Linked DNA regions of Arabidopsis thaliana. The protein of the gene in region 1 interacts with the protein of each later gene in a pairwise test. Each region holds a gene or a part of one and is shown in the gene's direction. Other genes may lie near its edges.

The links.
Region 2: the proteins of AT5G01990 (region 1) and RD20 interact in a two-hybrid assay, tested with the Arabidopsis thaliana proteins (one large-scale study listed by BioGRID).

The regions. Positions count from the first base shown.
Region 1 is NC_003076.8:375,372-383,497, reverse strand, and holds AT5G01990 (Auxin efflux carrier family protein), read left to right. Parts: upstream 1-3,586; 5' UTR 3,587-3,897; coding exon 3,898-4,095; intron 4,096-4,186; coding exon 4,187-4,266; intron 4,267-4,344; coding exon 4,345-4,469; intron 4,470-4,546; coding exon 4,547-4,668; intron 4,669-4,969; coding exon 4,970-5,200; intron 5,201-5,302; coding exon 5,303-5,377; intron 5,378-5,490; coding exon 5,491-5,591; intron 5,592-5,670; coding exon 5,671-5,723; intron 5,724-5,814; coding exon 5,815-6,125; 3' UTR 6,126-6,267; downstream 6,268-8,126. Other genes in the region: ROPGEF7 (RHO guanyl-nucleotide exchange factor 7), read right to left, coding at 1-5; AT5G02000 (uncharacterized protein), read left to right, coding at 2,903-3,343; AT5G01980 (RING/U-box superfamily protein), read right to left, coding at 6,475-7,956. UniProt on the Arabidopsis thaliana protein: Involved in cellular auxin homeostasis by regulating auxin metabolism. Regulates intracellular auxin accumulation at the endoplasmic reticulum and thus auxin availability for nuclear auxin signaling.
Region 2 is NC_003071.7:14,141,310-14,148,353, reverse strand, and holds RD20 (Caleosin-related family protein), read left to right. Parts: upstream 1-1,798; 5' UTR 1,799-1,979; coding exon 1,980-2,082; intron 2,083-2,356; coding exon 2,357-2,506; intron 2,507-2,589; coding exon 2,590-2,675; intron 2,676-2,771; coding exon 2,772-2,866; intron 2,867-2,958; coding exon 2,959-3,084; intron 3,085-3,219; coding exon 3,220-3,370; 3' UTR 3,371-3,523; downstream 3,524-7,044. Other genes in the region: arpc2b (actin-related protein C2B), read left to right, coding at 54-145, 233-289, 391-433, 533-750; AT2G33370 (Ribosomal protein L14p/L23e family protein), read left to right, coding at 3,710-3,722, 4,052-4,336, 4,418-4,459, 4,554-4,636; AT2G33360 (cadherin EGF LAG seven-pass G-type receptor, putative (DUF3527)), read right to left, coding at 5,484-5,660, 5,819-7,044. UniProt on the Arabidopsis thaliana protein: Probable calcium-binding peroxygenase. May be involved in the degradation of storage lipid in oil bodies, in abiotic stress-related signaling pathway and in drought tolerance through stomatal control under water deficit conditions.

The DNA.
Region 1 (8,126 bases):
TCCATTATTACTACGCCTGAATCTCTCTTTCAAACACAGTCTTCGAGTTCTGAAACTTGCTCAAATACTCAAAAGGAGCCTTCTGTATCTCTCTCTGTGGATATTCTCGTGCTTGAATCGCATTACATTTATGAGAACCCTTATTGTTCGATCTGATTCTTGTGGAACATTTTCTCGGGGGAAAAAAGTATTTTCTGAGAAAAGAAGAGAAAATGCAGTGAGTGGGTCTGTGAGTGAAGAGGTTCTCTTGCTCTGTCTTCCTCGATCTCTCTGCATCTTCAACATAAGATTTAAAAACACCAACTTTATCTTCTCTCAGTAACCAGGTGATTATTTTAATCAACGGGTTTAATTCTAAACTAATCCAAATCAATGACGACAAGATTTAAATTTATACTATAGTTTACTAATTAACTGTTTCTTTTTCTATTATGGGAATCGTGTAATTGACGGATCCATCTACGATGAGATTTGATAACTATAAAATCATAAAATGACGTATTCAATAAGATTATATATTTTTTACAAATTACGTAACCATATTAAATTAGGAATTTGGAACTAAAGAAGTATAAAAATAAAAATAAAGTCGTATTCATCAAATGATATGCAAGTATGCAACGGTACAATACCTCTATAACAGTTTGTATTACTATTACTTATCCCATTTATTGTCTATTTTTACAACTTCCACAAGATATATTTGGTGTCAGTATTTTAAATTTTGTTCATTTATATTAACACACAACCTTGAAAATTCCTCTACTTTTTTTTACGGTTCAATATTACTATATACAATTTTTGTTTATATAGTGCAGCGGATCGGATCGAAGATAGTTTAAATTTCTAAAAAAGTTTACAAATTTCAAAAATGTTACTCCGTAAAGCATTCACTCCCTAACAATGAATGCGTCCTCTCTTCAAAGATAACACACACATTCAATACGTGAAGTGAAATTCAATAACTCAATAAGTATCAATAAAAATTTTCTTCTATGTTTTCATTTACATTTAACAAGTTTGATAAATGAATGGTATTAGCCGTATAGGCTTCCATAATGACCACAATTTGGTCCATTCTTAAGGATAAAGGTAGAAAGTGATGCTTTGTCTTTGGTTCTAACCCAACCCAAATCTCCAACGTTTTCCTTGTCTTTGCGTGTGTATTACGATCGAGTGGTCACAACACGATTTTTTAATATGAACTGTAGCTTCATAATTATCTTTATTTATCTCGAATTTCATAGATTTTTTTAAAAAAATTTACTTGTGAAAATAGTTTCAACCTATACTTTTTGCTTAGAAACTAGGAGAAGATTTTAACATTTTCAAAATCCCTAAACTTTTCTTCTTGATTGCATAATTTATACTATATGTTTGCCAAAAATTTCTCATTTTTCTTGTTTTTTCCAATTCTATAACTTCTTTTCAAATATATAAGATATAGCCATAGTTGAATTATGGAATTTTTCAAGTAACGTAATGTCGTGATTAAATAGGAATATGTAGATGTTGTCGAGCATTTCAAACAAAGATAATGTTTTGTCCTTTGTTCTCTATCAGTTGTCGTATTGCACGTCGTTGTTTCCCTTACAAAACAACCCTAAAAATAAGGTCAAAACTCAAAACTGTTCCACCTTTTGTATAACAAACGCAACACGATGACAAAAGTATCTATTTAATAATACTTGAACGACTTAAGTATCATGATTTTGTCATTGCGTCTATAATCATACCGAGAGTTTGAGTTTTACACAATACTAAAGTGATAGTTAATTAATCATATATAAAAGAATATTATCTACTCTACGTACTCATAATATTCTTACAAATATTTCATCAACTTTCAATTTCTCCTTACGCTATAATGCTATATCATTATTTTTAACAAGAACATTACTTTCAACTTACACTACCCAATATCCTTAATCAAAAAGTTCTCCAAAAAACATATCCCATTTCTTTGAGCTATATAAACCATGTTATTTTTATATTTATTTGTTTACTTCCCAACTGCACTACAAAAGTTTAGAGATTATGATAATTACAAAATAAGAACTATTGAAAATTTTCAAATACGAACTAGAAAAGTCTAATTACCACGGACCACGGTGCATAACGTTCATTGATGGACCGAAGCAAACCAGTTGGTTCTTCATAAGTTCTTACTTATTGCTTACGTTTGATTACATCATTTCATTGGACTATCATCCATGGGCCTAATAAAACTTCATTATGGGCCATCTAGTGCAAACCCGTTTGGAAAAAGTACTTTACGGTGAGATCAAAATCGCTCTTCTCATATTATTGTACGTACACCAAGCTAAGCTAACATAATATTTTATCAAGAATCTTTTTTCTTTATCCTTTTATCCCTTGAAATAATATCTTCAAGCGTGATCCAATAAAATCTCACAACAAAAACCGAAACACGTATACAAAAGATACATTTCAAGACTTAATCCATTAGCTGTTCTTTCCGGCTTTTCGGAATTTGACTCCATCAAAAATGAGAAACCAAAATACAATTCAAAACGAGAAAGCAAATAAAATGTGACATGTGATATATGCATGTGATATCCCAAGAGCTTGGCGATAAATACAACTCAGTTAGCTACATTATGATATTATCAGGGACTAGTGTCCAAACTATATATTATTAAAAATTTGATTTATACCACCAATCCCCCGATCCCATCGAGAGATTTAATTTGATCAGACAATAATCGTGTATTCATTCTCTTATATTATTGCACTAAGAGCTCACATGAGCTGCTAGCTGTATATCAATTAGAATCTACTTGATTATTGTTAAAAAATTAGGAGCAAGAGATCAAATCTTATATATCTATAACTAGTCGTAGTAGATGGAGTTTTGGGAAGTGACCCGGTAACTAATAGTATGGAGAACGAGGTGGGATGGATGAATGAAGCGTCGAAGGATAGCAGCAACAATGGTGAATCTTTCATTGAAATACAAATCAACAAAGCAGTCAGAACCACAGGATTGAGCATCTCTTCTTCGCCATCTCCCGAGAACGAAATGCAGACGACGACAGCAATCTTCTCATCGGCCACTAGTTGCTTCTCAGCATACAGCAGCGTGACGAGGTTGATGATGAAAGTGGGGTGTTTGAGTATAGTGGGAGTCATAAGAGAGAAAGTAAACGTGGGAGAGAGGTGGGTCCTCCAAGTTATACAGAGACGACGAAACAAGAGCCCCCTACGATACTACTACGAAGGCAGCATGAGTAATAATAAGGATGAAGCATTAACGGACGATTCCCTCAAGGCAGCTATCGCTTACTGCAATGCCTCATCTCTCTCCCCTCTACAAACTTGATTATTATTATTATAATACCTTTTCTACAGAATCATGTTGGAACCAACCAATATTTGTTGATGTGTCCAAATCCTAGGGCATCATCAACTATATCATTGTTTTTTTTTCTTTTTATCTTTTTGCTTTTATTTCCGTTTAAGAATATATTTTATAGTTGTGATCCTCATTATCCCAAATCCCAAGTCAGGTCAAACATAGTTTTGAGGCTTGGTCAGCTGATATTTTTACAAGTTTGTTGTAAAAACTTGTAAACTTGAGTATTTTAATTAAATGAAAATAAACCATAAATAAATGAAGTTCTAAACTTGAGTAATAATAAAAACAGAATAAAAAAAAAGGTATGTGGGGAAGTTTTGAAGGGGCTTTTGGGCTTAGAAAAGGAAAGAAGTAAAGGAAGAAGCGGCGCACGTGGCAGGCAGTCACGAGAGTCACGAGAGATCGAGAGAAGTCTTTGATTCTCTTCTCTCATCAAATCAAAATATCATCTCAGAGACTCCGATTCTCTCTGTTTCTCCTCCACTTTTCAACCCAAGTCCACCCTCAAAATTCTCAGAATGATTGCTCGGATCCTTGCCGCCTTAGCCGATTCCATGGAGATGCCGGTGGCTGCCGGTGGTGGATCAGTGCTCGGTACCATCAAAATCGCTGTGATGCCAATTGCAAAGGTATTCACCATGTGCTTCTTGGGTCTTCTCATGGCCTCCAAGTACGTTAACATCTTGCCTCCCTCTGGCCGCAAACTCTTGAACGGGGTAATTAATTCTCCACACTAGACTTTTTCACTTTCTCTATAAATCCAAAAAAAGCAAACTTTGAATGAAACTGTCTCTCCTTTTCACACAGTTGGTCTTCTCGCTTTTGCTTCCCTGCTTGATCTTTTCCCAGCTCGGACAAGCCGTCACTCTCCAAAAAATGCTTCAGTGGTATTTGTTTCCTTCTTTGTCCCCCCTAGTCTCTCTCTAGTCCTTATATAGATCATCATATTCTTTTCCATCTTTCAGGTGGTTCATTCCCGTTAACGTCGTTCTTGGCACCATCTCTGGCTCCATAATCGGTTTCATCGTTGCTTCCATCGTTCGTCCGCCTTACCCTTACTTCAAGTTTACAATCATACAAATTGGAGTTGGTTAGACCCCTTTTTTTCCCTACCCTCGCTTTTCTGCTCTGACACTAGTCTCACTTTATGTGCCTTGTTTGTTTCAGGCAACATTGGCAATGTGCCTCTTGTTTTACTTGCGGCTCTTTGTAGGGACACTTCCAACCCTTTTGGTGACTCCGAAAAATGTAGCATTGATGGCACTGCTTATATCTCCTTTGGTCAATGGGTACTCTTTTTTCTCTTTTTAACTGCTTCTATGCTGTAACTATTATTATACCTACTAGAATCAGTCCATTAGCTGCTTCAGTTTCTGTCTCTTATGTAACAGTGATACAGTTTCTTGTCTTCTGCTTTTTTTTTCTGTTTGGATGAAGAGGAGCTTGATGTATGAGGAGTATCCTCATTGAAACTATTTTGTATAGGATCTTTAGTTCCAATGTACTGTTTGTCATCAATGTCTTATGGGAATGGATATTATTTCTCTCTGTGGGACTTCAATTAACCACAAGGTTTACTTTTTATATCAGGTTGGTGCCATCATCCTCTATACATATGTGTACCAGATGTTTGCTCCTCCTCCAGAAGGGTTTGATGCTGAAGAAGAAAATCTTGCTTTAAAAACCCTTCCAGTAGATGCTGCTCCAGAGCAAGTCCCCTTGCTTACTCAGAATTTTCCCAAGGACTTTTCGCCGACTCAAGATCTTTTGCCTGTACAGAGCACCGAACCTAGGGGAAGAGGGGTTTCAAGGAAAGGCAAGGTGGGACTGCAATTATGGAATCTTTATTCTATGTTTCAGGAGTATTTTACCTGATATAAGCTGGTTCTTACGAAACTTTTTATCTTTTGCTCCGTGATGTAGATTGCACAGATCTTTGTTTTCCTCTATGAGAAGCTGAAACTGAAGCAAATTGTCCAGCCTGCAATTGTTGCTTCGGTAAGTATCTCGTCTTTTCTATTCCCCTTTTTTATCTGACAATCTAAAGATCAAGAGACCGTGCGATTGCCTTTACCATGTAACTAAACTAGACGTGTTTTTGTTAACTTCAGATCCTTGCCATGATACTCGGAGCAATACCTTTCACAAAGAAGTTGATATTCACAAATGGTGCACCTCTATTCTTCTTCACAGACAGCTGCATGATTCTTGGGTAAGCACACTCTTTATTTGTCTTCTGTGAAGCAGCTGCAAATTAATTAGTTAATATATGTAAAACCTTTGGCTATCAGGGACGCGATGATACCGTGTATCTTACTGGCACTGGGGGGAAATCTCATTAACGGTAGGTTTGGTGGTTGCTTTCTTTTCATACTGACTTAGTTTTTAGCCCCATCCATCACATGGATCTTATTGGTTCCTTGGGTAAATTTTAGGACCAGGAAGTTCAAAACTTGGTTTCAAGACAACAGCAGCTATTATAATTGGACGGTTGGTGTTAGTGCCACCAGTAGGACTAGGAATCGTGACAGTAGCAGACAAACTTGGGTTCCTTCCTGCTGATGATAAGATGTTCCGATTTGTGTTACTCCTTCAGCACACAATGCCTACATCAGTGCTCTCAGGAGCTGTTGCCAACCTTAGAGGCTGTGGAAGGGAATCAGCTGCTGTGCTCTTCTGGGTCCACATTTTCGCCATCTTCTCAATGGCTGGATGGATGGTACTCTACATTAACATACTCTTCTGAATTCTCTTCTTATTGACACATTCATCTGCTACTATACAATACTTCTGTGTAAATACAGTGGCATCTCCTATGTGCCTGAACCAACCAAAATTCTGATTTTTTTTTTTTCCTTTCCTGTGTAAATGTTAGTTTATAACTCTTTTCAACTAATGAGCACTCCCTTTTTCTCTGGATATATCAAGAATATTATTTGAAACACGCGACAAACAGCACAACTTTAGTTAAACGTCAATTAAAACTAATGTGTGGAAACAGTACCAAGTCGATAAACAGCAGACGAAACTCAAGTATCTTTTAAGGGTCTTAAAAAAATACAGATTCTGGAGGCACCTACGGATCTGGGCATCAGTCAGAAAAACGGCAGCCATCTTCTGGTTCTGTTCTCCCTTTGGCTATGAGAGATTGCTATACCCCTCCTGTGTGGGCTGCTTAGCCACATTGCCAACACAACGCCCACCAGACTCACAACTGGTGCAGCAGCCAGAAACAGCCATCTTCCTCTGCTGACTCTGCTCACACCAGACTCGCTCTCACCTCTCTCTACATATTCCTCTTCCCCCGATTCTGTACCATCATCAGAGGAGGAGCTATCCTCGCTCACATCCAGCACATTCCGCTTTCCCTCCTCGTAATCTTTATCATCTGTCGGGAGCTCATAACGGCAGAGTGGGCAGGAGTTACGGGCACTCAGCCAAGGTACGATACAATGAGCATGGTATAGATGTAGACACGGAAGCTGCGTGGTTTCATTGCGGAGGGAGAAAAGCTCCTTGCAGATCGCACAAACTAGGCCCTTCATTACATGCTCCTCTGCAATGATAACCCTTGGAAGATTCCTGACGCATGAGACAGATGCAGGTGGTGCACCTCTTCTTGAATTGTCAGACTCAGCAAGTTGCTCAAGCAGTTCATCAAAGCCTCTCTCATCAAGATAATCCCCAACATTTGCAGCATAGGGGGAGAAGTCCAAATCCTCCAAACCAGTGAAGATGTTGCGAGATAACGAATGCCTCCTCTCTATAATTCTTTGACGAAAGCTTCTCTCTAACTCAGGTGAATCAAACCGAGTCATGGAGCTGTAGCTCTCACTTGGACTTGCCAAATAGTTTCTATAGCGTGTTCCTGCAACCCCAGAAGGACCCGCTCCTTCCTCCCATTCCCTGTCTTCTTCGTCTGAGTTCCACTGGTTAAGACCAGCGCGCATCGGGTCTATATCAGTGTCAAAGTCAATGTCGCTCCTGTCATCTGGTTGAACAAAGATATCGGCATGCCTGTCCGTGGAAGCATCAGACTCTCCACCGTAAGCACTAAAAGAAATGGTATCGTTATCAGCATGGGGAAATCTGTAGAGGCTAAAGCTAGCGTTTGATTCGGTTTCGCCAAAGTTGTCAAAATCATCACTTTCAGATTCTGAGAAGAGTCTCCATCTTGTCGAGCCGCTTGGAGTGGTATGGGAGCTAGTTCGCAGGTCATCACGTAGATCCTCACTAGCTTGAACCGTTGAAAGGCTTTGTCTTGCAATGCTTATCAAGTGTGTGAATTGTTGGGAGGAAAGATCACCGACACCGACAGACTCAGAGCTGTCGTGCCTAGTTGTTCTTCTCCTCCTCCTCATCCTCCTCCTCCTAATTGTCTGCCGCCGAGCCAAGGGAGGCGCGGGAGTGCCGAAATCTTCAAGCAACAAAAACTTACAGTCGACACATAAGCTGAAGATTTCAAGATCATCGGAAGCAGATTGAACGACTCTTCCGCACAGATTACAGGCAGACGATGGGATTGAATTGCTGCTGATATCCATGGGATGACCATTAGAAGGTCCTTGTGATTCCATCGGATCCAAAGGCGGCAGCTTTGAGGTCTGAAAAGGGGCATACATATAAAATCATGACCAAGGAGGGTTAGATCAGACCGGATACACCCACACTAATCTCCAATTGCTCGAAAATCACAAGGAACAACAAAAAGGATGAAGAGAAAAGATTACCGAAGAGATACGGCCGG
Region 2 (7,044 bases), on another chromosome or scaffold:
ACATCTTTAATTAGTATTCTTAAATGTCAAAGTTCAAACAATTCTCATTGCAGATATTACTTCACGGCACATTGAAGGAAAGAGACTGGACAAAACGGTTTGGAACTTGCTAAATTTCTACGCATGCGCTAAGTACCATATTAAGGTACATTAGTTCTAGTTTTTCAAATAAAATATAATAGATTTTGTGTTCTTGTAATTGAAAATTTTCAACCTCGTATTGTTTAAATAGTGCTCGAGAGGGTACATACAGAGACGGATGAGAAAAAGAATGGAAACTTTAGTTAAGGTATTTTTATCATATATTACGTACACACACGAATCTACAACAATAGTTGACATTTCATAAACAAAATAACGTATGTTTGTAAATTTACATTATATACGTAGCTGCTAAATAACACAAGCCTAGAAGAAGAAGCTGCTCAAAATGGTATCCTTTTTTTTTGTTACCTTTAACCTTACTTAGGTTTGTATATATAAAAAAGTTATATTATCATTTTTTCTTTTCCATTCTCTAATTTCTATATAGAAAACGGAAGATGCAAATACGTAAAGGAGTTTGTGAAGGTACCAAAAGGTAAATTGATGATGAAACAAAGATGCAAGGAGATGACAAGGAGAGTGAAGATAAGCAAGTTCCGGATCAAAATCAACGGTTGTGCTCGGTTTCGATTCAATCAGCGGTGGATATCTCTCCCCAAATTCTCTTCGAAACCATCAGATAAATCATACACAAAATTGGACTAAGTAATCACTTAACTTGGAAAGTCTCAAGAAAGAGGCTCGGTGTTGTTGTTTTTTTTCTTTGTCAACATGCTTTAAAATTGAATTCGGGGAGCAATATTATACGTTAATGAATATCTTGACAACAAAAAAAAACGTTATCAGATAAACTTATGGATATAATTTGGTAAACCAAAAATAAACCTAATCAAAAGTTGGCATTGAATGCAGCATGTTACGTAAGAGCTTTGTACAAGTACCATTCACTCTTTTTACTTTTCAATGTATACAATCATCATGTGATAAAAAAAAAAATGTAACCAATCAACACACTGAGATACGGCCAAAAAATGGTAATACATAAATGTTTGTAGGTTTTGTAATTTAAATACTTTAGTTAAGTTATGATTTTATTATTTTTGCTTATCACTTATACGAAATCATCAATCTATTGGTATCTCTTAATCCCGCTTTTTAATTTCCACCGCACACGCAAATCAGCAAATGGTTCCAGCCACGTGCATGTGACCACATATTGTGGTCACAGTACTCGTCCTTTTTTTTTCTTTTGTAATCAATAAATTTCAATCCTAAAACTTCACACATTGAGCACGTCGGCAACGTTAGCTCCTAAATCATAACGAGCAAAAAAGTTCAAATTAGGGTATATGATCAATTGATCATCACTACATGTCTACATAATTAATATGTATTCAACCGGTCGGTTTGTTGATACTCATAGTTAAGTATATATGTGCTAATTAGAATTAGGATGAATCAGTTCTTGCAAACAACTACGGTTTCATATAATATGGGAGTGTTATGTACAAAATGAAAGAGGATGGATCATTCTGAGATGTTATGGGCTCCCAGTCAATCATGTTTTGCTCGCATATGCTATCTTTTGAGTCTCTTCCTAAACTCATAGAATAAGCACGTTGGTTTTTTCCACCGTCCTCCTCGTGAACAAAAGTACAATTACATTTTAGCAAATTGAAAATAACCACGTGGATGGACCATATTATATGTGATCATATTGCTTGTCGTCTTCGTTTTCTTTTAAATGTTTACACCACTACTTCCTGACACGTGTCCCTATTCACATCATCCTTGTTATATCGTTTTACTTATAAAGGATCACGAACACCAAAACATCAATGTGTACGTCTTTTGCATAAGAAGAAACAGAGAGCATTATCAATTATTAACAATTACACAAGACAGCGAGATTGTAAAAGAGTAAGAGAGAGAGAATGGCAGGAGAGGCAGAGGCTTTGGCCACGACGGCACCGTTAGCTCCGGTCACCAGTCAGCGAAAAGTACGGAACGATTTGGAGGAAACATTACCAAAACCATGTAAGTGTGAATGTCCAAATTTATGATTTTAATGTGTAACAAGCGGGAAATTAAGTGGTTACGTTAAATGAAACTACAAAAACATCCAACTATTAACATGACAAATCGTATATTATCCATTTTTAAAAGTTATGGTGAGGACATGAACATGTTTCAAATTAAGTGTACCTTTCAAGATTTGTAGTGTTCAACACAAGTCACAATAACTTAAAGAAAAAATGTAATTTTCTTGAAAAAGATACATAATAATCTAACGTACAAAAATGAAAAACAGACATGGCAAGAGCATTAGCAGCTCCAGATACAGAGCATCCGAATGGAACAGAAGGTCACGATAGCAAAGGAATGAGTGTTATGCAACAACATGTTGCTTTCTTCGACCAAAACGACGATGGAATCGTCTATCCTTGGGAGACTTATAAGGGTAATTATTACTTGTTATAGTCTCTTCAAAGACTTCAATCTTCAGAAAAAAAAAAAATTCAAATAATTGTATAAAAATTGCAGGATTTCGTGACCTTGGTTTCAACCCAATTTCCTCTATCTTTTGGACCTTACTCATAAACTTAGCGTTCAGCTACGTTACACTTCCGGTATGGAAAATAATCCAGAGACCCTTCGAATTTAATTTGAATTTTATTATTATTTTGTGATTTTAATTTATGTTGTGATCAATTTTATGTAAAAAGAGTTGGGTGCCATCACCATTATTGCCGGTTTATATCGACAACATACACAAAGCCAAGCATGGGAGTGATTCGAGCACCTATGACACCGAAGGAAGGTAACATTAACATATATGTAAAATATAATATCCAATAATTTTAAATAGAATTTTCATGATACTCAATTTTGTAAAATTGCGATTGTTTATAGGTATGTCCCAGTTAACCTCGAGAACATATTTAGCAAATACGCGCTAACGGTTAAAGATAAGTTATCATTTAAAGAGGTTTGGAATGTAACCGAGGGAAATCGAATGGCAATCGATCCTTTTGGATGGTTAGTACTAAAAACATTATTGGTTATTAGTTGATTTTTTTGAATGAAATTTATTAGTTGATTTTACATACACGGTAATAAGTTAACACTAAATCCTAACGAAATCTGCTAAATTTGTTGTGTTGGTTATGGCAGGCTTTCAAACAAAGTTGAATGGATACTACTCTATATTCTTGCTAAGGACGAAGATGGTTTCCTATCTAAAGAAGCTGTGAGAGGTTGCTTTGATGGAAGTTTATTTGAACAAATTGCCAAAGAGAGGGCCAATTCTCGCAAACAAGACTAAGAATGTGTGTGTTTGGTTAGCGAATAAAGCTTTTTGAAGAAAAGCATTGTGTAATTTAGCTTCTTTCGTCTTGTTATTCAGTTTGGGGATTTGTATAATTAATGTGTTTGTAAACTATGTTTCAAAGTTATATAAATAAGAGAAGATGTTACAAAAAAAAAAAAAAGACTAATAAGAAGAATTTGGTATTGTTCATTTCATGATTAAAATGGTTCATGGGCTATCATGGGCCTAAAAGGCCTTTTCCATAGGTTTAAACCCTAATCCTTTCTTCTCCTTCATTTTTCTACTTCGATCAGACGCCAAACATCAGAAGCCCTAGAGCTTGAGCCGTCGAAAATGTCGAAGCGAGGTATGTCTTTTTCGATTCCAAGCCTTCTTCTTTCGTAGCTGTTGCAATTTAGTATAATTTGTTTTTGAAGCTTCCATGGCTGTTAGATTTAATAATAATTGAAATCAATCTACTACTCTCAGTATAGAATGCTCGAAAGTTTGAACCTTTGATCTCGATTTCTTCAATTCCAAGTAATATGATCTGATGTATTCATCTAGACAGCTCATTAACAACATTTGATATCAAAAATATTGAATTTGAGACTTGATGTTATTGAAAACAGAAAAGGTAAATGTTTTTGAGCATTGTTCTAATGGTGCTTGTGTTTTGTTGTTTGATTTGATTAGGACGTGGAGGAACGTCTGGTAACAAATTCAGGATGTCACTTGGTCTGCCCGTTGCAGCCACAGTGAACTGTGCAGACAACACTGGTGCTAAGAACCTTTACATCATCTCTGTTAAAGGAATCAAAGGTCGTCTCAATCGGTTACCTTCTGCTTGTGTTGGTGACATGGTTATGGCCACTGTCAAGAAAGGTAAACCAGACCTCAGGAAAAAGGTTCTTCCTGCTGTGATTGTTAGGCAACGTAAGCCATGGCGCCGAAAGGACGGTGTTTTCATGTACTTTGAAGGTAATTTTGCATACCTCAACAATTTCTCGAGTTGAAGTTTATGATCATGAGATTGGTACTGATTCGGTTCTTGGATCGTAGATAATGCTGGAGTGATTGTGAACCCTAAGGGAGAAATGAAAGGTATTAGTTTGTTTATTCCATTAGTTCTTTGTCAAACATATCTTGGCAGTACATTGTTTTCTGAAACATGTTGGTGGTTTGTTTTGGTTTTCAGGTTCTGCAATTACTGGACCTATTGGGAAAGAGTGTGCGGATCTCTGGCCAAGGATTGCTAGTGCTGCTAACGCCATTGTCTGAAGATCATTTATCACTTTTGCTGGTTATGTATCTGTCTTCAACGAAACGCGAAATAGTTGGTGTTTTGAGTGTTTTAAGTAGAGACGACAATCTTTTGTGAGCTTCAGACATATTTCCAGTTTCTAAGAGATTTTGCTTAGATTTTTCCAGTTTCTGATTTTGTGAAAATCAATTGCTCAGAGGTGACTATTAATAGGTCATAAAAATGAGTTATAAAGTCGAAAATTATGTGCAGAAGAAACTCTTACAAAACCAGAATATCATGAAGGTGAAAATTTGGAGGCAGCGAAATCATGTGGTCTACAATATTTGGAGGCAGCGAAATAATCTGCTTCACAATCTTCAGCGTCTTGCTCCGGCCCTCATCTTCAAGTTCATTGACCGCGAGATTCGAAACATCATCACCTCGAGAAGGCACCGGGCGCGTTGGCGGTCGTTAATGCTTCTTTGGATCCGTTAATCCACCCAAATCTTACGTAACTCTATTGTAATCTTGTTTTACTTTTTTGCCAAGATTGCTTTGGTTTGGTTTTGCTCTGTAAAATCACATTGTTCATTCTAATGATATTAACAAATTTAGCAAAAAAAAAAAAAATCATGAAGGTGAAAATCAAAAGTCAGAATTTACATTTTACACAACTCTTTGAAAAACAATACCAAAGCCCACATATGATTCCAGTAAAGAGACAATGATATACTTTCTATAGATTTAAACAGAAAGCCAAAAAATAAAAAAATAAAAATAATATCTACTAATTTGTAGATATTGTTAACTCAAGAACCCAACTAAAAACTATGAAGGCTGAGTTTTGCCCATCTTACTTTGTGCAATCCTTTCTTTTGCTAGTTAAGCTTCTGTACACTTCTTTGACGACCATGGCCGGAGTCTCTGGCTTTGGCTATGAATGTATGCTAAAGCAATTGAAAAAGATTGCAAAACTGATATCTTTGCTTGAGACTGGACAAAGTAGAGACCATCTCGAACATTCATGATCCTTAGTCCAGGACTTCCCTGCATCAATCCCTGAAACGAAAACACACAACGAATCAATCGAATTTCAGAGTCAATATGACCAAGACTGATTTTTTAGTTGATGAGTTATCTTGAATGCAAGAAAGTTTCCATTTTTTGAAATCTATGATGTATGGTTAAGGAAGTGGTAACTGGATCTTGAATGCTACCTCTGTGAAAAGCTCAAAAAGATTGCATTGGCCTTCACTTTGGTCTTTTCGCGCTTGGCCTTTAAGGACGGTTAAGGGGCAACCCAAGTCCCATCCAGAGCAATCACAGCATCCACCGGATTTCCATCTCTGAATCAAGCTCGAAGGACCACCGTTTCTATTTCTCGGCCCTCCGTGAATCCCTAAAGGAATCACAACATCTATGCTTGTGGAATGCTTAGAACATTTAGAAGCATCCTTGGTTCGAGCTAAGGGAATTTTCTTGAGAAACTTCATGCCCCAGCCTCCAACTTTTTCGACTTCTTCTTCTTCTTCTTCTTCCACTGGAAACTGTTCTCTCACAACAACAGCTGAGGTTTCAAGATTTGGTGGAAGGTCATTATCCAGTAAACTTATGGGTTCAAGATCGCTGTCATGTTCTTGAAATGGCTCCCAAGAACAAAAATCCGGTATGGAGCTTGTTCTACTGAATCTTGAGATACTTCTTTGCCTTGAAGTGCGTTTGGTGCTTTTGAGAGCATCAACGACTTTCTTAGGCAATCCTCTGTTTTTCCTAATATCTTTGTGGCACGGTAACTGCGGATTTCCACCACTGCTGAATAGAACAAACTGTCTCTCTACAGTTTTTTCATTCGTGGACGAGACAGAAAACAAAGTTGATACCTTTAGTTTACCAACCAAATGCTGCGGCTCAGATCCGCGACCTTTCTTCAAATGGATCAAATACGAATAGTCTAGAGAACTACGGTCGAAACCTGACCCAACACTAGTAGTGCTTAAGCTAGCTACATAGATCTCTTTCTGATCATCCAGTGAGAAAACAAAATGAGGCGTCTTGTTGTCTTTCATAGTGAATTGAAGTGTTCCTTGAGAAACTGATGAAGATGGAGACCACGAGGAAGAAGATTGCTCAGAAGAAGAAGAACTCAATGAATTTGTGCTTGATAAAGAAACTGCCTTTCGGGGCATGTTTCCAGAATGATAACTCAGAAACTGTGAATCCGGGGTGTTTTTTTCCTCTATCTTCCTCACAACATCATATGAAACCAACTCGCTTTCACCATTATGGTCTCGCCTTGTCCCGATATTATTACCATCACCATCTAATGCTTCGAGACTGTGTAACGTAGGCTTATCAAGCATATATGTAACCCTCTTGCAACCTATAATTGCACGGCTAATCACTGGACTGCCTGAATCATCTACCAACGGAAGATCAAACACAA